Anolis sagrei: one gene and its partners. The protein of the gene in region 1 purifies or fractionates together with the protein of each later gene. This does not show direct contact. Links are inferred from orthologs where the notes say so. Each region holds a gene or a part of one and is shown on either strand. Other genes may lie near its edges. The genes, in order: NCBP3, THOC1, THOC6 and ALYREF.

Region 1 (7,302 bases):
GGAACTCTCTGCCCCAGAGTGTGGTGGAGGCTCCTTCTTTGGAGGTTTTTAAACAGAGGCTGGGTGGCCATCTGTCAGGGGTGGTTTGAATGCAATTTTCCTGCTTCTTGGCAGAATGGGGTTGGACTGGATGGCACACGAGTTCTCTTCCAAATCTATCTAGATCTAGGGAAGTCATGCTACCCTTCTATTCCGCTTTGGTTAGACCACACCTGGAATATTGTGTCCAATTCTGGGCACCACAATTCAAGAGAGATATTGACAAGCTGGAATGTGTCCAGAGGAGGGCGACTCAAATGATCAAGGGTCTGGAGAACAAGACCTATGAAGAGCGGCTTAAAGAGCTGGGCATGTTTAGCCTGAAGAAGAGAAGGCTAAGAGGAGATATGATAGCCATGTATAAATATGTGAGAGGAAGCCACACTGAGGAGGGAGCAAGCTTGTTTTCTGCTGCCCTGTCCATCTCTGTGTACGAACCCACACAATCTCTTCGAACATCTGGAGAGGCCCTGCTCATGCTCCCACCACCATCACAAGGGCGATTGGTGGGGACGAGGGCCTTCTCAGTGGTGGCCCCTTGACTCTGGAACTCACTCCCCAAGGACATTAGGCATGCCCCAACTCTTGCAGTCTTTAGAAGGAGCCTGAAAACGTGGGTGTTTCAGTGTGCCTTTCCAGAATAAGGAAACTCCCGGCAATATGTCCCTTAGGACGCGGAACAATGGCTTCAAACTACAAGAGAGGAGATTCCATCTGAACATGAGGAAGAACTTCCTGACTGTGAGAGCCGTTCAGCAGTGGAACTCTCTGCCCCGGAGTGTGGTGGAGGCTCCTTCTTTGGAAGCTTTTAAACAGAGGCTGGATGGCCATCTGTCAGGGGTGATTTGAATGCAATATTCCTGCTTCTTGGCAGAATGGGGTTGGACTGGATGGCCCATGAGGTCTCTTCCAACTCTTTGATTCTATGATCTTATGACAATTTTCTATAATAGATGTGGCTTTAGTAAGTTTGGTTTTCTTTTTCCAGATTTGCTCCCATTCTCTGAGCCATATGGTCTTGCCTATGTCTCTCGCCCATTTGTTCATACTTTCTTTTATCAATTCCTTTTCGTTGTTCCATTCTAATAGGCTTCTATATAGTGTCGTTATCACTTTTTTTTCTTTTTTCATTATCTTATCCCAAGTGGTCTCAGTCTCGGAGAATCCTTTTTTGCAATCCTCCTTATAACGTTCTTTTGCTTGCAGATCGTGGAACCAACACAGTTCTTTGTCTATTTCTCGAAGTTCATCCATTGATTTGAAGCACCATTGGGTGTTGTCTCTTATTAGAAGTTGGTTATCATTGAGCCATTTTTCCCTCGGTAATTCCTTCTTATGGAAGGCCTCCGATGGTGACACCCATCTGGGCGTTTTAGAGTAGAAGTAACCTTTATACTTTTTCCATACTTTTAAGAGTATTAAAATTATGTATGTTTCATGTACATGGCCTTGATCCCACTTTTGTATTGCCATAGTCAACTTCTCATATTCACTCTTTTTTTTTCTTTCTTTTTTTCCTTTCTCTTTTTTTAAAAAATATGTTTATTTAGAATATAGTGCTCTAAGGAGAGCTGATAGGAGAGAGGTGTATTAGTGCAATAAGACAATACGAACGAACATACAAACGGACAAACAAACATACCACTGAATACAATACGACTACATGTCAATAACAACACTTACCAACACCAACAATTATTCCCCCAGTGAATTTTAAAATACTTCCAGGTTTTGCTGGTCCGGCACCGGGGAATAAACTATACTTTAATCCCCTTTTCTTTTCTGTTGCCTAAATTGGTATTAGTGTAATCGCCAGTTTCCTTTTGCTATACCTTCAAGTTTCCTTAATGCATAGTATTAATATTACCTCATTATATAGCCCTTTTATATATCCTAAAAAGCCCTCCCAATTGGTCCTAGGGGGTTTTGCTATGCTCTGTGACATTTTTTGGGTGAGGATGTCCATATTCATGATGTCCCATATTTTCAGTAACCATTGCTCTACAGTCGGTGTCTCCTTGGATTTCCATATTCTAGCTACCACTATTCTCGCCGCAGTGGTGAAGTAAAAAAAAAGTTTTTCTGAGTTCTTGTCCTTGATGGAGTCGATGATTCCCAGAAACATTACCTCCGGTTTAAGTTCTATTTTTTCCTTTAGTATGATCTCGGTTATTTTTTTAACTTCACGCCAGAAGGACTTTACCTTTTTACATTTCCACCACATGTGGATATAGTTACCCTTATGTTTTTCGCATCTCCAACAGACATCTCTAATTCTACCTCTGCTAAACTTAGATATTTTCTCGGGCGTGAGGTACCATCTATAAAAAGACTTAAACCAATTCTCTTTCATCTCCGCTGCGTAAGTATACTTTATTTTATTGCACCACACTTCCTCCCATTCTGTCATATGTATTGATCTTCCTACATCTCTTGACCATTGTATCATGACTCCTTTCACCTATTCCGTCTCCGTGGACCATATTAGCAATTGTTGGTATACTTTTTTACTTGCTTTCTTTTCTGATTTCATTATCTTGTCCCAGAATGTTTCTTGGGTTTGAAATCCTCTCTTCGCATCTATCTTGAAGTTTTCTGATATTTGGTGGTATTGAAACCAAGAAATGGATTGATCTAGTTGTTTGAGTTCTTCCTGGGATTTCAGCTTGATCTCATGTGCATTTATCTTTAATAACTGGGCATACGTTAGCCAGCGGTCTCTAGGTAATTCTCTCAAGTGGAGTGCTTCGTTAGGTGCAAACCAAAGGGGGGTCTTGCTATACAGCCTGTCTTTGTATCTGTTCCATGTTTGCAGGATGGCAGCTCTGGTTGGGTGATTCTTAAACTGTTTTTCTTTCTCCGCCTTCCACAAGTATCCGTGCCAGCCTTGTGACAGATCAAATCCATCTAAGCTCAGTATTTTCCTTTTGCTCAGCGTCATCCAATCTCTCGCCCATCGCAGGACTGCTGCCTCGTAGTAGAGTTGCATGTCGGGAAGGGCTAAGCCCCCTCTTTTCTTGTCATCGGTCAGATAAATCATAACTGATCAGATCAGTTATGATTTATTCTCTGTTTTTTACCCCTCCAAATAAATTTAGAGATCTCTTTTTGCCATTTACCAATTAATGTTTTAGATTTTAGGACGGGTAGCATCTGGAATAAGAATAAGACGTCCGAAAGGATGTTCATTTTAACGGAGGAGATCCTGCCTAACAGAGAGAGGTTTAAGCAGTTCCATGAGTTCATTTTCCTCTTTATTTCTTTCCATTTCTTTTCGTAGTTGTTCTTGATCAAGTGTGCGTTATTCTCTGCTATGGTTATCCCTAGATATTTAACTTCCTTTACTATTTTGATTCCGGATGTTTCCTGTAGTTTTATTTTCTCTTCATTCTTTATATTTTTGGTGATTATTTTTGTCTTGTTTTTGTTTATTCTAAATCCCGAGACTTCTCCAAAATTTCCTATTTCTGATAGCCACATGTTTATGTTCTCTAGTGGGTCTTCCACAAAGCAAACCAGGTCATCTGCGAAAGCTCTAGTTTTATAGATGTGATTCTTGACCTTAAGCCCTTTCAATTCCTTGTTTGTGAATATTTTCTGCAGAAGAACTTCCAATGCTAGAATGAAGAGTATTGGGGAAAGGGGACACCCCTGCCTGGTCCCTTTCTGGATTACTATGTGTTCTGATTGCTGGCCATTAATTGTTATTGTTGCCAGTTGGTGGGTATAGATAGCTCTGATTGCATTTAGATATTGATGACCTATATCCATTTCTCTTAGTAGATCTATTGTGAAGTTCCAGTTGACATTGTCTTCTCATATTCACTCTTGAATTCAGCCATGCTTTCTTTCTTAGCCTCCTTTTGTTCTACCTCAGCTGTTTCCATAACTTCTTCCTTTTCTACTTTTGGCTGTGACTCTCTAACTGTCACTACAGCTGTCCCTTCAGCTTCAACTCTTTGATTCTATGATTCTATGAATCATAGAATCAAAGCTCCCTGCTTGAGTGGTGATGGCACGATCATCAGCATAGATGAAACTCTCTGTGGCCTCCAGTTTGCAGATGGAAGCCCCGCCCACGATGGGGAGGAGTCTAGCGAGGCCCCGCCTCCTTTTAAATCCCCCGCTGTTCGGCTTTCCTTGGTGTCCCGCCTCCAATTGCCATATGGAAACCCTGCCTTGTCCATGCTTGCCCGCTAGATGGCGCTGCGAAGCTCAGAAGGCCAGTGGAGTTCTCTCTGCTCTTCCGGCGCTCTGCTTCCGGTCTGTGCTTCCTTCCTGTCTTCCTTGGGCAATGGCGGCGGTTCGGGGCCTCCGCGTCTCCCTCAAAGGGCCGGCCTCGTCGGAGCCGGAGCCCATGGAAGTGGAGGAGGGCGAGCTGCTCTTGCCGCCGCCCAAGGAGAGGGAGGAGGAGGAGGAGCCCGAGGAAGAAGAAGAAGAAGAAGGCGAGGAGGAGGAAGAAGAGGAGGAAGAGCAGAAGCCTCTTCCTCCGCCGCCATTGGAAGAGGAAGAGGAGGAGGAAGGCGGAGGAGGAGAGGCCTCGGGGAGCCTGCGGAGGGCGCTGCCGGTAAAAGAGGCCTCTGGGCGTGTGCAGAGTGTGCCTAGAAGGAGCCAGAGCCGGGCGGGCATCTGTCGGGAGGGCTTTGATTGTGTTATACGCTGGGGTCCGATGGGATGGCCTTCCTGGGTCCCTCACGACTCTAGGATTATAGTATTATTATTCATAATGACAACAACAACAAAATAATAATAGGGCAGGAGTTGGGTTGGAAGGTCTGGAGGCATCTCTTCAAACTCTAGGATTGTATGAATAGGAACTCGATGGCCATCTGCAGGGAAGGTTTTGATCTCACTGTAGGATTTTATAATACACTTCTTTCTCTCGTGTGTGTGTGTGTGTGTATATATATATATATAATATATATGTGAACAACACACACACACACACACACACACACATATATATATATATGTCTCACTAGTCACAATAATATAATAGAGTATCTCTTGTAGGATTCCAGGATTGTATAAACAGAGACTGAATGGCCATCTGTCAGGAAGGTTTTGATCCCACTTCAGTATTTGACGCCGGCCCATAATGACAACAAAATAATAATAGGGCAGGAGTTGGATTGCAAGGTCTGGAGGCATCTCTTCCCACTCTAGGATTGTAGGAACAGAGGCTGGATGGCCATCTGTCGGGAAGGTTTTGATCTCGCTGTACGATTTTATAATACACTTCTCTCTCACACATATATATGTATATCGCTAGTCACAACAACAGAATAATAGAGCTTCTCTTGTAGGATTCTAGGATTGTATAAACAGAGGCTGGATGGCCATCTGTCGGGAAGGTTTTGATCCCACTCTAGGATTTTATAATACACTTCTCTCTCATATATATATGCCACTAGTCACAACAACAAAATAATAGAGCATCTCTTCTAGGATTGTATGAACAGAGTCTGAATGGCCATCTGTCGGGAAGGTTTTAATCTTGCTCAGGGATTTTATAATACACTTCTATCTATCTATCTATCTATCTATCATTAGTCACAACAATAAAATAATAGAGCATCTCTTCTAGGATTTTAGGGTTGTATGAACAGCCTGGATGGCCATCTGTCGGGAAGGTTTTGATCTCGCTCTAGGATTTTATAATACACTTCTTTCTCTCATATATATATATCACTAGTCACAACAACAAAATAATAGAGCATCTCTTCTAGGATTGTATGAACAGAGTCTGAATGGCCATCTGTCGGGAAGGTTTTAATTCCTATTTAGGATTTTATAATACACTTCTCTCTAGTCACAACAAAATAATAATATGGCAAGAGTTGGATTGGATGGTCTTGAGGTATCTCTTCCTTCTCTAGGATTGTATGAATAGAGGCTGGATGGCCATCTGTCAGGAAGGTTTTGATCCCACTCCAGGATTTCATAATACACTTCTCTCTAGTCACAACAAAATAATATAGGGCAAGAGTTGGATTGGAAGGTCTTGAGGCATCTCTTCCCGCTCTAGGATTGTATAAATATGAACTAGATGCCCATCTGCAGGGAAGGTTTTGATCTCGCTGTAGGATTTTATAATACCCTTCTCTCTCTCTCTCTCTCTCTCTCACACACACACACATATATATCACTAGTCACAACAACAAAATAATAGAGCATCTGTCCCACTCTAGGATTTTATAATACACTTCTCTCTAGTCACAACAAAATAATAATATGGCAAGAGTTGGATTGGAAGGTCTTGAGGCATCTCTTCCCACTCTAGCATTCTAGGATTTATATGAAGAGAGGCTGGAAGGCCATCTGTCGGGAAGGTTTTGATCTGGCTCTAGGGTTTTATAATACATGTCTCTCTGGTCACAACAAAATAATAATAATAGGGCAGGAGTTAGATTGGAAGGTCTTGAGGCATCTCTTCAAACTCTAGGATTGTATGAATAGGAACTAGATGGCCATCTGCTGGGAAGGTTTTAATCTTGCTCTGGGATTTTATAATACACTCCCCCCCCCTCTCTCTATATATATATATCATTAGTCACAACAATAAAATAATAGAGCATCTCTTCTAGGATTTTAGGGTTGTATGAACAGCCTGGGTGGCCATCTGTCGGGAAGGTTTTGATCCCACTCTAGGATTTTATGATACACTTATCTCTCGATATATATACACTAGTCACAACGACAAAATAATAAAAATAGGGCAGGAGTTGCATTGGAAGGTCTTGAGGCATCTCTTCCCGTTCTAGGATTGTATGAATAGAGTGGATGGCCATCTGTCGGGAAGGTTTTGATCCCACTCTAGGATTTTATGATACACTTATCTCTCGATATATATACACTAGTCACAACGACAAAATAATAAAAATAGGGCAGGAGTTGCATTGGAAGGTCTTGAGGCATCTCTTCCCGTTCTAGGATTGTATGAATAGAGTGGATGGCCATCTGTCGGGAAGGTTTTGATCTCGCTCTAGGATTTTATAATACACTTCTCTCTCATATATATATATATATAGATATATAGATATATATATAGATATACACATACATACACCTATAGAGAGAGAGAGAGAGAGAGAGCTCCTGGTGGTGCAGCAGGTTAAACCGCTGAGCTGCTAAACTTGCTGATCGAAAGGCCACAGTTTTGAATCTGGGGAGCTGGGTGAGCTCTCGCTGTCAGCCCCAGCTACTGCCAACCTAGCAGTTCGAAAGCATGCAGATGTGAGTAGATGAATAGGTACTGCTCCG
Region 2 (7,725 bases), on another chromosome or scaffold:
AGAACCTCTCTTTGAGGCGCCCTGGCTTCCCGCTGGGCTTAAAGTATACGTCCTATAGAAAAGACAGCTGTTACAGGCCCAGCGTGCGACAGAACAATTATATTGTTCTTTCATTTTAGTTTGGGGGGTTTTTTGCACTAAAAATATGTGCACTGTGCATAGAAATTTGTTCAGTTTTTTTTTCTTTCAAACTATAGTCTCTCCCCCCCCCCCCCCCGAGGAACAGTGAACCAGCCCTTGGTTAAATAAAGTTTGAGGACCCCTGGTAAAGATCAACAGTGATCCAATACAACAAGAATTCAGGAAAGACAGGAAACACCTCTTTTGATCCAAATTGATTTCTACTGAGGAAAGAATGTGATCCAATGCAAAACTGGTGTCATGGCCAGTTTGGGAAGCATGGATGAGCAGAGGCTGGTTGAAGTCTCTGTGCTTGAACTTGAGTCTAGCCATGCCCATCAACTCCTCAACCAAGCTTTCAAGCAACACCCATTGAAGGAGTTACTGCCTGCAGAACAAGTGCAAGGGCGTTCCTTGGAGAAGGCTGAGGAAGAGGAACTGTTCCAGCTTTCATGGACCTGGAAAAAAGAGGGCCTCAGCTGCACAGGTTTTGGAGACTAGTTGAGAAATGAGCCAGCAACAGGTAACCTCCGAGAACTTCGGATTTAAGGACTTCACAGGTGGCACCTTGTTACTGGCTGCAACATCAGTTCTAGAAGCTATGACAATGGAGTGTTGCTTTCTTGTATTCCTAAACTCCGGACTTATCCTTGAACCTCAGTTTACAAATTCTAATTTCAACCTTGTACTTTGAACTCTGGTACTTGACTTATGACCTGAAATGGGACATTCGGCTTCTCTGTACTATCCTGCTATTGTCTGCCTCTCTTTTGAACTTTTCATTAACACCCTTTTGGTATTTGGGGGTCAATGCTTTTTACAACTGAGTTTGGATTAAAACAGTTGCATATGACACTAAGGGGAGTCAAGCTGGTGCAGGATACTTTGCATTCAAGCTAGGAATATAGCCCATGTGTAAATTCAGCCATAGTTATATCTCTTTAGTCACCAAAGTGCACCAAATTGTAACCAGGCAAAAAGATACCCATCCCCTTTGTGTGTATAGATTTCTTCAACCACAAGAACCCAAAACATTGCTACTCTTTTTTTTTTTTACAGTAGTGGGAACTATAAGTAAAAAGAGGTCTGTTATGAAACAGTGGCCTTTACAATTTGTTCATGTGTCACTGAAGATAGCAATGTCAACACAAACAAGAAACATTTCATTTAGCTTTCCCCAAAGACCATAAAAGCAATCTGGTATAAAGAGTAGTTGGTTGATTTGATTTGGTTTTCAACCAAGAAGTACTCTACGTGATTTATTAAAGAAAGGCTGCAGAATAGCCTTACAGAAATGTATTGTTTTAAAGCTTGTGGTAGGAGAGGAGTCCAGTCTCCAGAGAGTTGAGGAAATGAAAACATCGAGCTATGCAATGGTTTTAGTAAAAGAACAATTTCCTATTCAGAGTTTTGTATAGAATCAATCAGGGTGACAACTAGGTATGGCAGCTCCTTGAAAAGAAATACCACTTCTTCTCTCTGAGAGTTATGCACTATATTGGAATTGAGACCTTGTCTACACCAATGCTTTAACTTCACAACATTGTGGCATTTTTTTCCTGTAGGCATAGCAGGGAAATCATGTAGATGTTATTAAGTTACTACATCAAAATCTCTCCAAAGCTAAATAAAGAGCTACAGGCGGGAAAACATGCTGAGAATAAGTTACAATACAATAACATGTGTATGAGTAAAAATACGTTATTTAACACCACAGCTCTGGAAACATTGTATTGTTTGATTACAATTTCATTCAATCACTTGCATATTTCTTTAAAAAGTAGTAATAGAGAACAAATGGATGGAAGTAGAAACCTAGTATATGTGGAAAGTCCCGTATGTGCTGTGTGCTTTGAGATCTTTCTCTGCTTGTGTGTCAAGAAAGATGTAGTGACTGAGTTTTTCCCTCTCTTGAAACCTTAGAAGAGATGGGTGTTAAAATAGCTCAGACCCAGTTCTTTACCATGAAGAAATCTAATTAGTTATTTATTATTGTAAATAAAACTTTTGTGATTTTTTTTAAAGATTGGACTCTGCATGTTTGCCTCCTAAGCTCTAATTTTTTTACAACCACATCACACGACACTTCACGCTCTGCTTGCTAGTGAGCTGATGCTCAACTTTTGTATCCTGTTTGTTTTTGGATGCTCCACTACTTATTTTAGGGTAGTTTTCCCTAACATATGGACCAACCCAGCTCATATTAGCAATTGTGTCCTCTTCTTACCCAAAAACCTTCATTGTTTCTTTTTCTTCTTGAAATGATCAATGAACTCAGGTGAACCCTTTTCCCTACCTGATTTCCCTCTTTTAAAATCTGCTGTGCAAGCACATGCATCAATCCACTCTATCAGAATCATACCACTGCAGACTCAACATTGCTTTATTGTGAAATTGAACATTTGGTCATTCCAAATAAATGAACAAGCAAAAAAGAGAGGATCAAACACAATCATTTGCTAAAGAATTATTATACAAGTTGTGCTATAGTTGCAGTCTGTAGCAACTAACGAATTTTATCCTTTTATAATAATGGAGCTATTCTATCCTTCGATGGATGGAGACAAAAAGGTTAACCTTTGTGTTTTTCTAACCGTTTTTGCAGTAGTCTGATTTTCCAGCAGTACCGAGACTTGATATTGGGAAAGTTACTTTAGGGAAATATAACTCTTGGAATCTCCTAACCAGGATGGCAAGCATGGAATTCATCAAAATAATAAAATGTATCTTCCTTATCTTCTAGTTACAATCTGTAGAATTTATTCTTAACACTAATGTTTTCTATCCAATGCAGCTTTTGTTTGTGACAGTAAGAAGGAGAGGCCAATTTACCTACTAGATAAGAAAGTATTTTGGAAGGTAAAGTTGGAAGGAGAGTTATATATCTCCACATGTATACAAACACATACACACACACACAGTTATGAGGTAAGGAAGCAGTGTTTTGCCATATTTACTATTAAGGGCTCATATGAACCTGAGCTTGGACTATAACTTTGAAAAAAACAATTAATCACAGTTATAGTTTCTAGGCTCCAAAGTGTTAAGCAGTATAGTACTTACAATTTTAAAAATAATTGTTTACTTTCCCGTTCACTAGAAACTAAACCAGATATTTTAAAATTAAATATCCATCTGAGTGGTACAAGGAGCTAGTCTGTGGTTCAAATACATCAAATACACCACTGCCTATAGGAGCCCCTGGTGGCGCTGTGGGTTAAACCCCTGTGCCGGCAGGACTGAAGACCGACAGGTCGCAGATTCAAATCCGGGGAGAGGCGGATGAGCTCCCTCTATCAGCTCCAGCTCCTCATGCGGGGACATGAGAGAAGCCTCCCATAAAGATGATAAAAACATCAAATCATCCAGGCGTCCTCTGGGCAACGTCCTTGCAGACAGCCAATTCTCTCACACCAGGAGTCACTCCTGACACGACAAAAAAAAAAAACAAAAACAAAAAACCACTGCCTATGAAGTAACACACCCTACAAACTATCTACAGACCCACTAAGAAAATCCAACAAATGCTACATTTACCAAAGGACAAGAGGAGTCTACCATATACCATGCAGCTGTGGATAAGTCTACATAGGGACCAAAAAATGCAGCACCCAAACACGAATCAAGGAACATGAAAGGCACTGCAGACTAACTCAACCATTGTATGATCTGTATTATAATGTATTTTGTATTAATGTATTATGGTGCTATTATGTTTATTCTATGTGTGTATGAATTTTCTGCTGTTAGCCGGCCTGAGTCCCTCTTCGGAGGTCGAGAAGACCGGGTTATAAAAGCTCTAAATAAATAAATAAAGCAGAGAAGTCTGCCATAGCAGAGCACCTGATGAACCAACCTGGGCACAGCATTTTATTTGAGAACACAGGAATGCTGGACCACTCCAACAACTGTCATGTCAGACTACACAGAGAAGCCACTGAAATCCACAAGCATGTGGGCAATTTCAACAGAAAGGAGGAAACCATGAAAATAAACAAAATATGGCTACCAGTATTAAACAAAACTCCAAAATCAGGACAGTAAATAAAGAACCACACTCAAAAAAACAGAGGAATTCCAGACAAGAATCTATCAGGGTCAGCAAAATACCTCCCAACAAAGGATTCCCCCAGACAGGAAGCAGCCAGGCTTTGAAACTGCAAGGCCGTTCAATGCTAATCTTTTGCGAAATTCACACTTGCCTGAAGCAGAGAAAAGTTCTTTTTCCCATCCTGACATCATTCCACAGATATATAATCCTCACTTGAAAAACTACAACTTCCAGGATTCCTTAGCACTGAGCCATAGCAGTTAAAAGTGCATTAATTCTGCAGTGTAGATGCACACTTTGATGAGAATGGACAGGCTGCAAAATGTTTCCTTCCTATCTTTTTTCTCCTTCACGTTGGTTTAGACAGGATCAGGCTATTGTTATCCAAGAATGCAATACACTGCCCCTAGCGGCAAAACGGTGAAGTGAAAGCGCGGAGAGAGAGTCATGTGACTTCGCCTCTCTATGCCCCGCCCATGCTGAGACAGAGGCCCCGCCCTTTCGAACTCGCTCTCCCCCTTGTTTCCTTCTTCTCTTGTGAGCAATGCAGGCATGGACGAGGCGGAGCGTTGGCGCGGGGTTATGACGTCAGCAGACCTCGCCGTGTTTCTGTCAGGAGCGGCAACCATGTCTCCCTCGCCGCCGCTGCTCTTCAGCTTGCCTGAGGCTCGGCTGCGTTTCATGGTGAGCGGCTTGTGAGGTGTTGTTACTTCGGAGAGGAAGGCAGAAGCCGTTTATATTCCTCCCTTCGTTGCTTCCCAGCCTTTCCCACGCCTTCTCTTTGGGACTTCAACTCCCAGAAGCCCCAGCTAGCTTGGCCCAGAGTCGGGAATCCTGGGAGTTGAAGTCCAAAACTTCTGGAAGACCAAACCTTTCGAAAATACTGTTTTAACTTTGTCTGTTTTCCTCCCTTGGGCTCTTATTAGATTTGGATATGTGCCTCTTTTGTTTTGTTCCATATGTCCACTGCCTTTCAAACATCACACACAAACAAATCTTTGCTGTGTTAGGCCCAGCTTACTCTAGGCCAGGCATGGGCCAACTTGGGCCCTCCAGGTGTTTTGGACTTCAACTCTCACCATTCCTAACAGCCTCATGCCCTTTCCTTTTCCCCCTCAGCCGCTTAAGCGGCTGAGGGGGAAAAGGAAGGGGCCTGAGGCTGTTAGGTATGCTGGGAGTTGAAGTCCAAAACACCTGGAGGGCCCAAGTTGGCCCATACCTGCTCAATGGTATGCTATTTTTAATGTTTAATTATTGCTTTATTACAGATTTGATTTGGGGCCTAATTTAGGCTGCAGCATTCATAGTGTGTATTTTAGATGTGTTCATATATAATATACTAGCTGTCCCCTGCCAGGCGTTGCTGTGGCCCAGTCTGGTGATCTGGAAAATAAAGTAATGGTTTCTAATCTGTGTAATTTCTTTATGCTTGTGGGTAAACAGTATTTCTTGTTGTTTCTTTGTCAGTGTTGATGTAGAGATTGTCTGGTTTGCCTACCCTGGAATATGCAACATATAATTGCCCTTCTTTAGAGTTCCCTTTCAAATCTATGAGACTCTATCTCTCTGTGTGTGAATCATATCTATCTATCTATCTATCTATATATATATATCTATGGCTGGATGGCTCTTTGTCAGGAGGGCTTTGATTACATTTTCTTGCCCTGGTGAAGGGAGTTGGACTGGATGGCCTTGAGTATTTTCTGTTGGTTATGTGAGTTCTGTGTGGGAAGTTTGCCCCAATTATGCCGTTGGTGGGTTTCAGAACGGTCTTTGATTGTAGGTGAACTATAAATCCCAGTAACTACAACTCCCAAATGGCAAGGTCTATTTTCCCCAAACTCCATCTGTGTTAATATTTGGGCATATGGAATATTTGTGCCAAGTTTGGTCCAGATCCATCACTGTTTGAGTCCACAGTGCTCTCTGGATGTAGGTGAACTACAACTCCCAAACTCAAGGTCAATGCCCACCAAACCCTTCTAGTGTTTTCTATTGGTCATGGGAGTCCTGTATGCCACGTTTGATTCAATGCCATAATTGGTGGAGTCCAGAATGCTCTTTGATTGTAGGTGAACTATAAATCCCAGCAACTACAACTCCCAAATGACAAAACCAAAAATGTTTGAGTGAAGGACATACATTGGGTTGTTAGGTGTATGCTGTCCAAATTTGGTGTCAATTGGTCCACTGGTTTTTGAGTTCTGTTAATCCAACAAACGAACATGACATTTTTGTTTATATAGATGTGCCTTGTCTGGCTAATTTTTCCACCCTCGTCTTCAAAGTAACAGAAATCGGGCCAAACCCCAAAGTGTGCTTTGGAAAGATTTACTCCTATTGATTCCAGTGGGAATTTATTTATTTATTATTTATACCCTGATTTATCTCCCCTGAAGGGGACTCAAAGCAGTTTAACATACAAGTATTAGCATAACCATTTAAAATATACAGACATTAAGGAGTCTCCGGTGGCTCAATGATTTAAACCCCTGAGCTGCTGAATTTGCTTATCGAAAGGTTGCCGGTTCGAATCCGGGAAACGGGATTACCTCCTGCTGTTAGCCTTAGCTTCTGCCAACCTAGCAGTTTGAAAACATGCAAATGTGAGTAGATAAATAAGTGCCGCTCCGGCGGAAAGGTAACGGTGCTCCATGAAGTCATGCCAGTCACATGACCTTGGAGATGTCTCGTACAATGCCAGCTCTTCAGCTTAGAAATGGAGATGAGCACCAAGCCCCAGAGTAGGATGCGACTGGACTTAATATCGGGGTAAACCTTAACCTTTACCTTACTTATCGAAGTAAGGTAAAGGTTATATTTATACATAGGAATAAATATAAACAGTATTCAAAAATTCTCAATTAAAAACCATTAAAACAAAGTTAAAAACCACAGCAACACCCTGAATTGATCTTAAACACAGCCATCTTTAAGAGGCTGCCTGAATGAAAGGTTTTAGCCTGCCGAGGGAAGGACAGCAGGGAGCTTAATTAAGCAAGCTTAATGTGCACAAGCCTAATGTATATCTGGTTCAACTAATTTTGGCTTAAGTTAGGTAGAAGACTTTTTCAGCCCTCTAAACATAGACTGGCTGTAACTCCAAGTAACTATCAGTAGTCCTAGCTAGTAGGAAGGGATTGTGGCAGATGCAGTTCAGGAACATCTTGAATCAATATAACTTCCTTTCTCATTTAGACTGTTTTATGCTATGTAGAATTGTCATGTATCCATTAATGTAGGATTTCCTTAACGTGCCCAAAGAGTGCCTAGATTTTCAGTGCATTGTTTGAGAGTGTTATTTATTTATCAAGACAACATATGTTTAAACAGATTATTTTGGAGGAAAACTGAATTTAATTTGATGCATTGCTAAGTGAATATAGGAGTATAAGCCTTTCAGACACATGGCATTACTCAAAGACACTTGGTGCATCAGTGCCAGAGTAAAGCAGGTCTGGATCATGTGTATGCCTGAGAGTGACATCTGTTCCATCTTCTGTCATAAAAGAAAGTTGACATGTAAATATTTTGTGTATATTTTAGGAGACATT
Region 3 (7,480 bases), on another chromosome or scaffold:
ATCTTTGCAAAGCTCTCATATAGCTATATAGGTTCATAAATACCAGGAGAGCGAGCACTATTCAGAAGCCATTCTTTTCCTAATCCATCCAATAAGATAGATCCATCCCGGAAATAGCTTCATGTCATACACATACCGGGATCGTTGTGTACCACTGAAGTTCACCACTCCTTGGTTTGTCCTGAACCATGTCCCTTTGCGTGTCATGTCTCGTTGCCAGCTGGAGGCACGGCCATGGCTCCAGCCCCTCTTCCCAGATAAAAGGGAGCAGCGCTGGGGTGGGCTGGATGGAAGCAATGCGGCCGATGGGTCACCAGGTGTTGGATCCATCTGTGAAGTTAAAGGTAGAGAGGAAATGGTTAAAATAAGTTTCTCTTCTCCTACAGAGGTATGATAAACATGCCCTCAAATTGTCAAATTTGGCAATGCTGGCCATAATTAATTCTTTGTCATTCATCTTACCTAATCTTGGGTGTGCATACAGAGTCTCACTTATCCAACCTTCACTCATCCAATGTTCTGTATTATCCAACGCAGTCGGCCTCCTGCCTGGATCTATAGCTCTTTCATTGAATAGCTTTGCAGCTTCAAAGCCTGGCTGCTTCCTGGCTGAGGGAATCCCCTGTTGGGAAGTGATTAACTAGCCTTGTCTGCCTCCCATCTGGAACTCCCCCTTTTTTGAGAGCTCCTCTTCATTCACTGTCCCAATCCTAGGGTCTCTTAATACTGGTACCCAGATTTTGCTCCTCCCCATGGCCTCCTCCCCTCTGCTCAAACTGTCCACATGCATGTGGACTTCAATGGTCTCCCTGTGCCGTTCGACATGGCAGCCGCCAAAGTGGTCCAGCATTTCTGTGCTCCTAAATAACACGCCATGTCCAGGTTGGCCCACCAAGTGCTCCACCACAGCCCACCTCTCTGGTTGAACCAGTCTTCTATTGAATATAGAATACATGGTGATCCTATAGAGCTGTGCACTTTAGGAGATTTATGGTAATGCTAGTCTTTACTGAAGTTTTTGGGTGTGAAAAGAAGGAATAACTTAAATTGACTTGATTATTTCACATAGACTCAGAAATGTATTAAATTCATGGCCCAGCATCTCCAATTCAAAACCTCATTTTCAACCACAAAGGTTTGGCCAAAATGAGAAACACTGGAAGTCCTTTTATATCTTGTTGAACTCTCCCCATCATATTTGACCACTGGCCCTGCTAGGTGAGGCTAATGGGAATTGGAGTTCAACATCTGGAGAGCCAATGCTTCCCATCCCTAGACTTGACCTTATGTTTATGTAAGATCCCTTTTACATGGCCATATAGTCCAGATGATCAAAGCAGATAATCCACATTATCTGGTTTGAACTGGGTTGCATTCACACTTCCATATAATCCAGTTCAAAGCATATATATATATGGATTTTATATGAAAGTAGAAGGAGCCTAAGAACTTGCATCCATACACACCAAGTATAGTCATTATTATAATAATTATTAATACCCAATTTTTTCTCTCTAAAAAGAGACTCGGCTCCCTTCTACACTACCATATAAAATCCAGATTATATAATTTGAATTGGATTATTTATTTATTTATTTATTTATTAGCTGCATTTGTTGACCGCCGTTCTCAGCCCTTTAGGGCGACTTATATTATACGGAAGGTGTGGACTAATATAATCCAGTTCAAAGCAGATAATGTGGAGTATTTGCTTTGATAATCTGGATTATATGGCAGTGTAGAAGGAGCCTTGATGTTGTCTTACTTCAGTTGAAAACAAGTGAAGTAACACTTGCAAGTACATAACTTTTCTGGCTGGACTGTTACCGTATCCTTCACTGCTGATGGTTGTAAAACATTAAGGCATAATACCAGAATAGGTCACACTTGATCCAAACAACAGTTGATGCTTGCAATGGACTGAGTGGGCTATTTTAGTGCTGTATGTTTTTTTAATGTTCGGATGCAATGCCTGTTTTGCTTCAAGGAATACTAATGTTATGGCATAAATGGTGTGTTTGGAGAAGAGGAAAAGGAAGGGAGGACACCTAACACCTAGCCCACTGAAACAATGATAAACTGCAATGATTAGAAGAGGAAAAGAATAATATATGGACAGTGGACTGTTGTTATTAGCTACGGTTTGGTTTCATGTTGCACCATAACATGGGCTGCCATAAGGTCCACAAAAACTGTTCCTATGCTGTCACGCGCTGGGCCTGCGAAAGAGTCTGTAGACAGGACGTGTTTTCTGAATGCCCAACGGGACGCCGGGGGTGCCTCGGCTGAGAGGCCGTTTGGATTTCTCCACACAAAGTTATTTTAAAGACTTAGAAAGCTCAACAAAGTTTTTATTGTTACTTAAATCTTTAATAAATCAAACAAATACTTCAAGGCTTTGAATCAACTGGTGGCTTGCTTAAATCTTGTCCACAAGGGACAGGCAACTTTCTTCATAAACTGTTTCTTCCTTCTATAAGGGAAATCCTTGACCCCTTCTTGAGCAATCTATATTTAGGCTTTGCTGGCGTGGGGCCCCTATACTCGGTTCCAATTTGCATTATGGCTGCCGCAAGAGGTCCTTACCAGGCCAAAGTCTCTGTGTAGATTTTCAAGAGGAAAGAAGTCCTTTGTTTCCCAGTGAAGGCTGGCTGAAAAACCGTGGAGCTGTATTTCTCCAGCAAAGAGCTGGCTGTAGAGTTGTGGAACTAAATTCCCCAACAAAGGCTATGCTGTAGTTCTCGGTATTTATTTGTCGTGTCAGGGCTGAGGTGTTCCAGCGAGTGTCTCTGTAGATCTTAGAAAACTATTTCTAGATTTAAGTCATTGACATGCTGGCTGATACCCAAACAGGGGGTGAGCTGGAGATGTCACTGCCTTGGTCCTTTCACTATTGGCTGCTACTTCCCGGCGGATGTCAGGTGGTGCAATACCGGCTAAGCAGTGTAATTTCTCCAGTGGTGTAGGGTACAGACACCCTGTGATAAAGCGGCATGTCTCATTAAGAGCCACATCCACTGTTTTAGTGGTGAGATGTGTTCCACACTGGGCATCCATACTCAGCAGCAGAGTAGCACAGCGCAAGGGCAGATGTCTTCACTGTATCTGGTTGTGATCCCCAGGTTGTGCCAGTCAGCTTTCGTATGATATTGTTTCTAGCACCCACTTTTTGCTTGATGTTCTCGGTAGAGCTGTGGGACTGGATCCCCCAGCAAAGCTGTAAAAGACGAAGCTTTCTACAGGTGGAACTGATTCACATCCTGTATGAAAGGCTTCTCTGTGTAAACTGAACTACAGGCAGGGCCGTAGCCAGAAACAAAATTCGGGAGGGGTTGAAAATTTTGCGGGGGGGGGGGGGGGTGAAACCTGCCTCCTAGCCCACGCTGAAGCAAAGAGCACAGCAGAGGGCAGAGCAGCCTTCAATAACCTGCAGCTCCGCCCCTGTCAACCACCTCCACCAAGTCTGGCCTCCTTAATGAGAGAATTCAACACAAACACACCCAACTTGGTTGCTTTACTACATCGGCTATTGCTGCAAGTAATGACAGTGTGGATAAATTGTCAATATTTGCTTGAGATAGTGCTTGCAGTTCTGGAGGGACTCTGTAATTTTTTGCATCTCATAGACTTAGCATGGGGATTTGGTTAACCAGTTAAAATTCATGAGTAAACCAGGTTTTTTAAAAAATCTGAAACATTTCAGGGGGGGGGGGGGGTTGAACCCCTAAAACCACCCCCTCGCTACAGGCCTGACTACAGGCCCCCCTTTCCCCCTCCTTAACCCAGAAAAAGGGGCGGAACTAAACAACATAATCATTGATGGGTCATTGGCCCTATTGGAGCCCCCGGTGGCGCAGTGGGTTAAAGCACTGAGCTGCTGAGCTTGTTGATCAAAAGGTCTCAGGTTCGATTCCGGGGAGCGGCGTGAGCTTCTGCTGTCAGCCCTAGCTTCTGCCAACCTAGCAGTTCGAAAACATGCAAATGTGAGTAGATCAATAAGTACCGCTCCGGCGGGAAGGTAACGGCGCTCCATGCAGTCATGCCGGCCACATGACCTTGGAGGTGTCTACGGACAACGCTGGCTCTTCGGCTTTGAAATGGAGATGAGCACCACCCCCCAGAGTCAGACATGACTGGACTTAATGTCAGGGGACTATCTTTACAGCCGTACCAGCACAGTTCCCGTAATGCAACCTTTCTCATAGCCTTCCTTGATCTATTATGAATGTATCCTTGTCATGTCTTTCTTTCCAAGGTTCAGGGTCTAAAAAGGTCACATTAGGAGGCAAGCCTTTTGAGGGCAATTCAGGACAAGACCTCTCTGCCCTGGCCTGACTTGGGCCTACTAATCCAGGCCCACGCCCACAGAAAGGCAAGCAATAGAGATCCCAGAGTGCTTTGCGCTCCAGGCGGCCATTTTAAGAGAGCCCTAGCAACACCGACTTCATACATTCCCCTCACGGTGGGCGTGTCTATCCTCAGAAGGGGCGTGGCTTTCCCTGCCATTGAAGCGCGTTGCTTCTCTGCGCATGCGTCAAGCAGAGGAGGGAAACGCGGCGCCACCAACGGTTAGTAGAGGGCCTAGCCTAGGAAGGGGGATGTGGGCCTACAGGTCTCTTGTGCGCATGCGCTGTATGATAAGGCAAGGCTTTTCTCATTCTTACCGTGCAAATACGATTTACGACTCTCTTCTGGTTGGAGGAGCCCTCTCTTTGAAGCCGGGGACGAAGCGGCGTAGGAAAGTAGCAACAAAATGCCTTTTTTCAGTCACGTGACGGAATGTAACTCCACCGCGAGGTAGCTTGGGAAATGTAGTCCCAACTGTCGCTTCTTCCCCGCCCTCTGGTAGGATATGGCTCTGGGAAGACTACGACTCCCGTGATGCCTTGCGCTCGTGGAAGCTTCTCTTTCCTTACTTGCCCATAGAGATAGAAAGTGAAGAATGCTTTCTGGAATTGGTTCTGAATCTTCTTGGAGAACAAATCAATTCTGTGGTTCTTTTGGTTTGCGGGGAAGGCGTGAATAAATGGATATGGTTTCTTAATTTTTGAAATTATTAGTATCTTTGGACAGGAATTCACTTAAAGCAACAGTGTCTCATTTTGTTCCTCCAGGTATTTTGGACTTCTTGCTCCCAGGATTCCTGACTGTTGGCCAAGATGGATGGGAATTGAAGTCCAAAAAACCAATTGGAACAATTCACTTAAAGAAGGCATGGGCAAACTTGGGCCCTCCAGATGTTTTGGACTCCAACTCCCACCATTCCTAACAGCCTCAGGCCCCTTCCTTTTCCCCCTCAGCCGCTTAAGCGGCTGAGGGGGAAAAGGAAAGGGCCTGAGGCTGTTAGGAATGGTGGGAGTTGAAGTCCAAAACACCTGAAGGGCTGTTTGCCTATATCTGACTTAAAGCATCTTACGACACATAAGCAAAGGTATTTTAATAGTAGGTAGACTCAGTAACTATTCTAAAGCCTTTGTCTGTGTGGATCCTAATAATTTGTGGCAAGTTCTTGGTGGTATGGGGATACCAAATCACCTTATCTCTCTCCTGAGGAATCTGTATAAGGACCAAGTAACAACAGTAAGAACTGACCATGGAACAACAGACTGGTTCAAGATTGGGAAAGGCGTACGGCAGGGTTGTATACTCTCACCCAACCTATTCAACTTGTATGCAGAACACATCATGCAGGGCTTGATGAATGCAAGGTCAGGGTTAAAATAGCTGGAAGAAACATTAGCAACCTTAAATATGCAGATGATACCACTTTGATGGGCAAAAGCGAGGAGGAGCTGAGGTGCTTTCTTGTTGTTGTTGTTCATTCGTTCAGTCGTCTCCGAGTCTTCGTGACCTCATGGACCAGCCCACGCCAGAGCTCCTTGTCGGCCGTTACCACCCCCAGCTCCCTCAAGGTCAGTCCAGTCACTTCAAGGATGCCATCCATCCATCTTGCCCTTGGTCGGCCCCTCTTCCTTTTGCCTTCCACTTTCCCCAGGTGCTTTCTAATCAAGGTGAAAGAAGAAAGTGCTAAAGCTAAGTTGCAGTTAAACATTAAAAAAAACCCCAAGATTATGGCAACCAGACTGATTGATAACTGGCATATAGAAGGGGAAAATGTGGAGGCCGTGACAGAGTTGGTGTTTCTAGGTGCAAAGATTACTGCAGATGCAGACTGCAGACTGGAAATCAGAAGATGCTTACTTCTTGGGAGGAGAGCAATGACCAATCTCAATAAAATAGTGAAGAGTAGAGACATCACATTAGCAATGTTAAAGCAATGGGATTCCCCGTTGTAACCTACAGATGTGAGAGCTGGACCATAAGGAAGGTTGAGCGAAGAAAGATAGATGCTTTTGAACTGTGGTGTTGGAGGAAAATTCTGAGAGTGCCTTGGACCATGAGAAGATCCAACCAGTCCATATTTCAGGAAGAAAAGCTTATTGGAGGGAAGGATATTAGAGGCAAAGATGAAGTATTTTGGACACGTAATGAGAAGACAGGAAAGCTTAGAGAAGACAATGATGCTGGGGAAAAAGGAAGGAAAAAGGAGGAGGGGCCGACCAAGGGCAAGATGGATTGATGATATCCTTGAAGTGACTGGCTCGACTCTGAAGGAGCTGGGGGTGGTGACGGCCGACAGGGAGCTCTGACGTGGGCTGGTCTATGAGGTCACGAAGAGTCTGAAGTGTCTGAACGAATGAACAACAAAAACTCAGTAACAGTTTTAAGCATCCTTCCTTCATAAATTCAAGAAGATAGGAAACTCTTCATTGATCCATTTATCCCAATATTGTCCATACTAATTTACAGCCACTCTCCAGAATTACAGGCCGGATTGTTTCCAAACACTAGAGATCTCCAGGCTTGATCTTGTTCACTTCGCCAAACCAGTGAAGACTAGCATATTTAGGGTGGTACTACTGACCTGACTTCTCATCCCACCTTTTGCCAGATGAATATCCAGCGATCCCTTGAGCTGCTGCACATGACCGTCTACTCCCAGAGCGTCTCGCCTTGTGGAAAGTATTTAGCGGCTGGGAACAATTATGGAGAGATTGCCATATTCAGGTAGCTAGTGCTTTCTTAACACAAAGGGTGTTTTTGGGTGAGACATTAATTTGAAATGATTACAAGTTACATTTCACGGTCTTTCCCTCCTCTTTACAGCCTTTCAGCAGCACTGAGTTCAGAGGCCAAGGAAGAGAGCAAGAAGCCAGTGGTTTCCTTTACAGGTAGATCATTATGGTCCGGTGAATCCAAGCAATTCCTGTCATGTTTGTGACTGTTCAGATCTGACCCACCATGTCATTTTATGTGGCTCTCCAGATACTGGACTACAACTCCTATGTTCCTCATCATAATCATCATAACTAGAGCTAATGGCAGTTGTAATACAGTAACACCTGGAAGGCTGCAGTTCGTTTAGTCAGTGGAATGTGGTTTGAATTTAGATACAAGGCTTGTGGATATGATACATAAT
Region 4 (7,282 bases), on another chromosome or scaffold:
TGGACTTGCTGGGAGTTAAGCCACTTGAGAATGCAGTGCATGTGGAAGCAGTGGGAACACTGACCCCACACCAGCGGGCAGTCATCTCCAGGCACCTTACCTGCAAAACACAAGAGTTACTAGGGCAAAGCTGGGAAAAGACAGTGTATATCGATCAAGAAAAATGTCAGTGGGCAGATAGTCCCAATACTCACAATCTGGGCAGCAGCCATTGAAGGCCATCCGGCAAATGCCACAATTCTCATCATTGGCAACCCAGAGCCAAGAGGCAACTCCATGCCAGCTCTTGATTTTCACTTTCATTGTGTTCAACTAAATACCACACTTAGATCAACCTAGTTTAGCACCTGAAGGGAGGAGAGAAAAAACCAATGGAAATCACTGTTTCTAAAATGGGAATCAGAGTTTCTAGAAATCAAAGTCTCTGTTTCCTAGCAAGATTGGAGCTGGAATGCAATTTAAAAACTATTTAACCTATTTAACCTTTCCACCAGGGTAGCAATAGATGGCATTATAAATTATATTAATATTCGTCTTACAATGTATATGCAGTCCAGGAGGTATGTTAAGCTTGTGCCTTCTTTAGGGATGATGCAGGACAGACTACAACCAAATTCCAGATTAGGACAGGATGGAAGCAGAGATTTTTGAGACATTAAAGCAAAGTAATATATATTAATTCTTACCTATGATTACATTGTTTTTATAGTATAACCATTACAGCAGATGAATACCAAGGTCCTAATGCCCAGCATAACTATACAAAAGCATTGCAGAAGAACAGCAGCATTAAGACATTGCAAAGCTGGGTACATTATTAATATTGAACTCAACAAAATTTGAAGTAGTTGGGTAGGAATCATATCCCATGTGGGTAGAATTCAAAGGCATGACTGCATTAGTCTAGAATACCAGTATGCAAAGGGATCTTGCAGTACCTTAGAGGCAAAATGAGACAACAAAACTGATAACATAACCTTTCCAAGATCAAGTCTATTTTGTCAGTAGCTCGCCACAGAGTTTGTGGGCATGGTGCTAAAATGACCAGTTCAGTGTTAATGATGTCACTGAGGAACAAAGGGAGTCGAGAAGATGTTGCCTAAAGGCAAGATAAGTAGATAAGCATATGAATGGTGGAGGGAGTTCTTGGACTGTCCTGTACCTGTTTTGCATTTCTATGGCTATTCACACATTCTGTGTATAAAGATCTCTTTACCCTAGGGATAAATAGGAATGTCTGGTGCTAACCCACCTGATAAACATGTATGTACTGAAACACAATCATTTTTTTTATACTATAATTAACTATTTGATATTGCTGTTTACAATATAAATAAACTGACACAGAACTTCTAGGACCATAAACTTTTATCACATAGATTTTATGAATTTTTCCCAAGCACTTCAGTCCATGCATCTGAGAAATCGGACGAATTATGAAAGTTTAAGCTACTAGCGTCATTCTTTCAGTCTCTAAGTGCCACAAGACCCCTTTGCATACTGTTAAGACTGCAATAGTTCCTATCGCAGCCCTTGAAAGGAAGAAAAGCAAAAGATATCCATATTTTGCAGGATATTCTCAACTGAGTCTTATTTAATTTATATGTTGCCTTTCTTATAAATAAATAAATAAATAAACCAATAATAAAACATTAAAACAATTTAAACTATCATGTTAAAGCAGTACATAATTATTGAAAGCACATATCAAAAATAAAGCATTCTTCCCCGTGGGCAATTACATATTATCAGATTAATATTTTAAACACTGTATTTTCAGTTACCAGCTCCCCGTATCTTGCCATCTTCTTTTAAACAGCTTGTAAGAAGTAAACCCTAGGTAGCTGAAGAACTAGGGACTTCAGCACACTAGAGCATCTATCAACCTTAAATCCAGTTTCTGCCTCCTGCAGAATTCTGGGTTTGTAGTTTAGAGAGTGGCCTTTAAAAAGCTCATCCAGAGAGGTCTTGGAACTCACTAAACTACAAACCCCAGAATTTTGCAGGAGGGAACAACTGGATTTAAAGTGGATAGATGCTCTAGTGTACGCTTGGGCAAACTTCAGCCCTCCAGGTGTTCTGGACTCCAACTCCCACAATTCCTAACAGCTTACTAGCTGTTCGGACTTGTGGGAGTTAGAGTCCAAAACACCTGGAGCACCCAAGTTTGCCCATGTTTGCTCTATTGTGATGAAGTAGCTGCTTTTGTAACAGTGACCTAAAATTAATGGTTGGCTCAAACTATAGCAGGCTCTTTGCACTATCTGTGTGTCTGTATACACACAACACTTCAAGCTGATCATTGACTGATTGCGTTATTGTAGGTTTTTTGGGCTATATGGCCATGTTCTAGAGGCATTCTCTCCTGACATTTCGCCTGCATCTATGGCAAGCATCCTTGTGAGGTCCTCACAACCTCTGAGGATGCTTGCCATAGGCGAAACATCAGGAAAGATGCCTCTAGAACAGGGATCCTCAAACTTTTTAAACAGAGGGCCAGGTCACAGTCCCTAAAACTGTTGGAGGGCTGGATTATAATTTGAAAATAACATGAATTCCTATGCATGCTGCACATATCTTATTTGTAGTGCAAAAAACACTTTAAAGCAATACAATATTTAAAATGAAGAACAATTTTAACAAATGTAAACTTATTAGTATTTCAATGGGAAGTGTGGGCCTGCTTTTGGCTGAGATAGGATTGCTGTTGTTATAGCCTAAAGCAAGGGTCCTCAAACTAAGGCCCGAGGGCCGGATGCGGCCCTCCAAGGTCATTTACCCGGCCCTCGCTCAGGGTCAACCTAAGTCTGAAATGACTTGAAAGCACACAACAACAATCCTATGTCATCACCCAAAAGGAGGCCCACACTTCCCATTGGAATACTATTAAGTTTATATTTGTTAAAATTGGTTTTTGTTTTAATTATTGTATTGTTTTAAAGTGGTTTTTGCACTACAAATAAGATATGTGCAGTGTGCATAGGAATTCATTCATATATTTTTTTCAAATTATAATCGGGCCCTCCAACAGTTTGACGGACTGTGACCTGGCCCTCTTTTTAAAAAGTTTGAGGACCCCTAGCCTAAAGCATCTGATATTTGGTGGCTGTCTCCCATCTAGGAGCTATGCAGTTTTCAAGATCAGGCAGACCTTGGCACCTTTACAACTGTTAGGCGCACACTGACTGCTGCGTAGTCAATTGGCATGAATCTATAAAAGTAAAGGTTTCCCTTGACATTAAGCCTAGTTGTGTCCGACTCTGGGGGTTGGTGCTCATCTCCATTTCTAAGTTGAAGAGCCAGTGTTGTCCATAGATACCTCCAAGGTCATGTGGCCAGCATGACTCCATGGAGTGCTGTTACCTTCCTGCCGGAGCTGTACCTATTGATCTACCCACATTTGCATGTTTTCAAACTGCTAGGTTGGCAGGAGCTGGACTTACAGCGGGAGCTCACCCTGCTCCCCAGATTCGAACAGCCAATATTTAGGTTAGCAAGTTCAGCAGCTCAGCGGTTTAACCGGCTGCACCACCAGGGGCCCTGGCACCAATGTAATGGCTCTGCTCTCGTTGGAACTAGCAGCTTGGCCTGGGCAATGCTTCAGCGTTGGGCTATTATTACGTGCGGATCTCTTTACCAAAGAGCAGCCGCCAAACAACAGCAGCAGCCACAAGACTGTAGTCTGAGGTCTCCGTCTACACTGGCCATTTATTGCAGTTCCAAAGCGATTTTGCTGTGCAGTCAGATGGCTACATGAGAAATCCTGGAGCCAGTTTGAGGCCCAGAAAGTGCTGAAAGCCCTGAGGCACATTAAGGGCTTTGCATTCAAGGGAGTTTGTCGCCTGGTTGCCGAACTGTATGAAATGTTTAGTGCAGACGGGGCTTTGGGGGGAACAGCCCCCTCCCCTGCCCCGAGGCAGCATCCTCCTCCTCCTCCAACCTTCCCGCCTCCCTTCCCCTTACCGGAAGTCCCGCCCCCAAGGGCTCTCCCATAGTTCCTCGCGCACCCAAGCCCTTAAAACCGAGCGCGAGAGGCCCCTTGGCGCACTTCTTTCAGCGGAGGAGCCCGGCACGAGCGCAAGCGCGCCCACCCACCGCGCTCTTCCCTTCCTTTCTTTCCCGCCTCCTTCTCCTTCTTCTTCCTCCTCAGCCAGGCTCCTTCTTTTTCTCCTTCGCCGCCCTTCCCTCTGTATCCCCGCCTCATCCGTTTCCGGTCCCCTCGCGCAGCGCGGCCGGAAGCGTAGGCCCCAGGAGCCGGAGGGAGCCGCCATCATGGGCGACAAAATGGACATGTCTCTGGACGATATTATCAAGCTCAACCGGAGCCAGCGAGGCGGAGGCGGGCGCGCCGGGCGAGGCCGGGGGCGAGGGGCCGCGGGGCGAGGCGGCGGAGGAGGCGGCGGCGGCGCGGGGCGAGGAGGCGGAGGCGCGGGGCGGGCAGGAGGCGGAGGCCCCATCCGGAACAGAGCCGCCTTGTCCCGGGGAGGCGGCAGGAACAGGCCGGCGCCCTACAGCCGGGTACGTTTCCGCCAGGCGTCTCCTGGGGGTCTGCCTTCGGGCTCATCTGGACTCTCACTGCATTCGCAACTCGTGATAGCACTTGGGCCTGCACCTGGGGGAGAAAACGCAGGGAAGCCTAGGCTTATACTATACGGCAGTGGTTCTCAACCTGTGGGTCCCCAGATGTTTTGGCCTTCAATTCCCAGAAATCCTAACAGCTGGTAAACTGGCTTGGATTTCTGGGAGTTGTAGGCCAAAACACCCGGGGACCCACAGGTTGAGAACCACTGCTCTAGGGGCTGTAGTCTGAAAATAAGGGGACATGAGACCTTAAGACAAGTGGTTTGCCACTTGTCGGTCCCCAGTATTTTGGCCTACAAGTCCCAGAAAGTTTACCAGCTGTTAGGATTTCTGGGAGTTGAAGGCCAAAACATCTGGGAAGCCACAGGTTGAGAACCAATGCCTTAAGATATGCTGATCAGTTACTGACTTGGGGTGCCCTTTCTTTCCAGCCCAAACAACTTCCAGAAAAGTGGCAACATGATCTCTTCGAAAGTGGCTTTGGTCCTGGCGCTGGTGTGGAGACAGGTGGAAAACTTCTGGTCTCTAATCTAGATTTTGGCGTGTCAGATGCGGACATACAGGTAGGTTTTCCCTTCATCTCTAATAATAGGTGGCCCAGTGTTGGAATTTGTTCTAACTCAGGCATGAGCAAACTTCATCCCTCCAGGTGTTTTGGACTCCAATTCCTAACAGCTGGTAGGCTGTTAGGAATTGTGGGAGTTGGAGTCCAAAACACCCGGAGGGCCGAAGTTTGCTCATGCCTGAGCTAGCTGATAAGGTTGTGTAATGGAGACCGCCTTTATTTTGGGCATCTTATTGCAAATTTCATCTGTGTGGACATGGGTGTTTTTTTATGATTGTGACAAATGTCTTAATGTTTGGAGAGAAGCAGAAATGTCTCTCTGTGAAATTATCAGCATTAATATTTATTTCCTTTGATAGTTTGGGATTGTTAGCAAACACATTGATATTCATAGGCTGTCTTGTTTTGTGTAGAGTACATATATGAACATTTTCTAAACAATTTCATAAGCTTAGTACTATAGTAGATATATCTGTTCTACACACTTCTTTTTGTAATCCTTGGGATATGTGGATCTCTATTGGATTATTTTTTTCTGTGCAGGGAAGTCTGAACCTAAGGCTAACCTATACAAAGACAGAAAATTATTAATTAAAAAATCATTAAAATTTTATTTCTAGTCTGTCCTATCTCCCTGAAAGGACTCAGGGCGATTTCTAATACAAAAGCAAATATTCAATGCCATATGCAACCATAAAAACACAGCACCATAAAATAACAATGAAACATGGCTAAAATGCATGCATAAAATAAACTCTATGAGGAGGGTAAACAATCAGGCTTTTTTGCAGGGAGAAAATTTTATCCTGTTGAACCACATTTCCCAGTACTGTTTATCCTTTGAAATAAAGCCAATGTTGTATCAGACAATAGGCAAACAAGAATATATTGTGGTTTGGTTGTAGGGTACAATGGCTTTTATGACTTCAGATGAACATATGCTCACACACTGGATTCATGAAGGCCAGACTTTTTGCCAATCTGCTCTTAAAACAGCATAAGGCAAAAGACACTTGCATGATTTGAGATTCAAACATGGCAATGGTTTATATAGTGTTATGCAAGATCACTTAACTTGTTTAGGAGTATGTAGCTTAAGCAGGGTAAGCCGCTTCAAATGCCCAAGAAGCAGTTCTCCACCACAGTGGGCTCCACTACAGAAAGTACAGCAGGGAACTTGTTTTCCATAATTATTCTTCTGATTTTATTTGTAGTGGGGCTATGAGGAATGCAACCACTCCACTTTATTTTGTGGCTGAGGCACCTTGGTGGAGGTCTCATCAACATTGCCTCCTCAGGAGATCTTCTGCCCTACATTTCTTGCATTTTTCCTTGAGTTCTGGGGTTAATTTAAGTAGAAAATGAGGCAAAGTTAATGCAAGATCTGATTTGTAGTTGTAGTAAAATGGCAAATGTGAGAGTGAAAGAGTTTACTGCTTTAATGGGTAATCTTTTTAGAAAGACCTGAATACTTTGCCAAATCCTCCTGGTTGAGATAACTTCCTACTTTTACCATATCATTTTCAGGAACTTTTTGCAGAATTTGGTACATTGAAGAAGGCAGCAGTACACTATGACCGATCTGGGCGTAGTCTAGGTACTGCAGATGTTCATTTTGAGAGGAAGGCAGATGCTCTGAAGGCTATGAAACAGTACAATGGAGTTCCCCTGGATGGTACGTGCTTAACTGTCTATCTTGATATTTACACAGTGGAATAAGAGATAAGCTAGCCTTGAATTTAAGTATTTCTCTGGTAGCTACAAATAACAAGGAAATGTGTTTGGAGTGTGTATGTATTATTCTATGTAAGAGGGTGGCAAAGGAAGAATGGAGAATCTGTTTTTTTTGGCATAGAAACCAAGAAGACAGTTTAAAATGGTATGGTCCTGAGAAGCTTCCAACCCTTGGTTCTTGAAAGAAGTATTTTAGCATTATTTTACAGACTAGTAAGGTTTTTGGACTAATAACCCTTGTGATGCATATCCTTTTTATTTTTAGGACGTCCCATGAATATCCAACTGGTTACATCACAAATAGATACACAGAGGAGACCAATACAGAGGTAGGAGATTTAATCTTTATTGATGATGATGATAATAATAATAAGTTTGTTCTTTTATACCGCCACCATCTCC

What was found.
Region 2: the proteins of NCBP3 (region 1) and THOC1 purify together in Homo sapiens (co-immunoprecipitation; 4 studies listed by BioGRID and IntAct, with this or other methods). This does not show direct contact. The link is inferred for Anolis sagrei from reciprocal best matches to the Homo sapiens genes NCBP3 and THOC1.
Region 3: the proteins of NCBP3 (region 1) and THOC6 purify together in Homo sapiens (co-immunoprecipitation; 3 studies listed by BioGRID and IntAct, with this or other methods). This does not show direct contact. The link is inferred for Anolis sagrei from reciprocal best matches to the Homo sapiens genes NCBP3 and THOC6.
Region 4: the proteins of NCBP3 (region 1) and ALYREF purify together in Homo sapiens (affinity purification with mass spectrometry; 4 studies listed by BioGRID and IntAct, with this or other methods). This does not show direct contact. The link is inferred for Anolis sagrei from reciprocal best matches to the Homo sapiens genes NCBP3 and ALYREF.

What each region holds. Positions count from the first base shown.
Region 1 is NC_090031.1:29,857,011-29,864,312, forward strand, and holds the start of NCBP3 (nuclear cap-binding protein subunit 3), read left to right. Parts: upstream 1-4,294; 5' UTR 4,295-4,333; coding exon 4,334-4,606; intron 4,607-7,302. UniProt on the Homo sapiens protein: Associates with NCBP1/CBP80 to form an alternative cap-binding complex (CBC) which plays a key role in mRNA export. NCBP3 serves as adapter protein linking the capped RNAs (m7GpppG-capped RNA) to NCBP1/CBP80.
Region 2 is NC_090024.1:60,858,362-60,866,086, reverse strand, and holds the start of THOC1 (THO complex subunit 1), read left to right. Parts: upstream 1-4,712; 5' UTR 4,713-4,723; coding exon 4,724-4,855; intron 4,856-7,725. UniProt on the Homo sapiens protein: Component of the THO subcomplex of the TREX complex which is thought to couple mRNA transcription, processing and nuclear export, and which specifically associates with spliced mRNA and not with unspliced pre-mRNA.
Region 3 is NC_090026.1:16,484,302-16,491,781, forward strand, and holds the start of THOC6 (THO complex subunit 6 homolog), read left to right. Parts: upstream 1-4,470; 5' UTR 4,471-4,529; coding exon 4,530-4,568; intron 4,569-4,664; exon of another isoform or gene 4,665-4,800; intron 4,801-6,952; coding exon 6,953-7,068; intron 7,069-7,167; coding exon 7,168-7,232; intron 7,233-7,480. Other genes in the region: HCFC1R1 (host cell factor C1 regulator 1), read right to left, coding at 137-330. UniProt on the Homo sapiens protein: Component of the THO subcomplex of the TREX complex which is thought to couple mRNA transcription, processing and nuclear export, and which specifically associates with spliced mRNA and not with unspliced pre-mRNA.
Region 4 is NC_090022.1:113,659,372-113,666,653, reverse strand, and holds the start of ALYREF (THO complex subunit 4), read left to right. Parts: upstream 1-4,262; 5' UTR 4,263-4,272; coding exon 4,273-4,518; intron 4,519-5,012; coding exon 5,013-5,144; intron 5,145-6,673; coding exon 6,674-6,821; intron 6,822-7,145; coding exon 7,146-7,209; intron 7,210-7,282. Other genes in the region: ANAPC11 (anaphase-promoting complex subunit 11), read right to left, coding at 1-100, 195-303. UniProt on the Homo sapiens protein: Functions as an mRNA export adapter; component of the transcription/export (TREX) complex which is thought to couple mRNA transcription, processing and nuclear export, and specifically associates with spliced mRNA and not with unspliced pre-mRNA.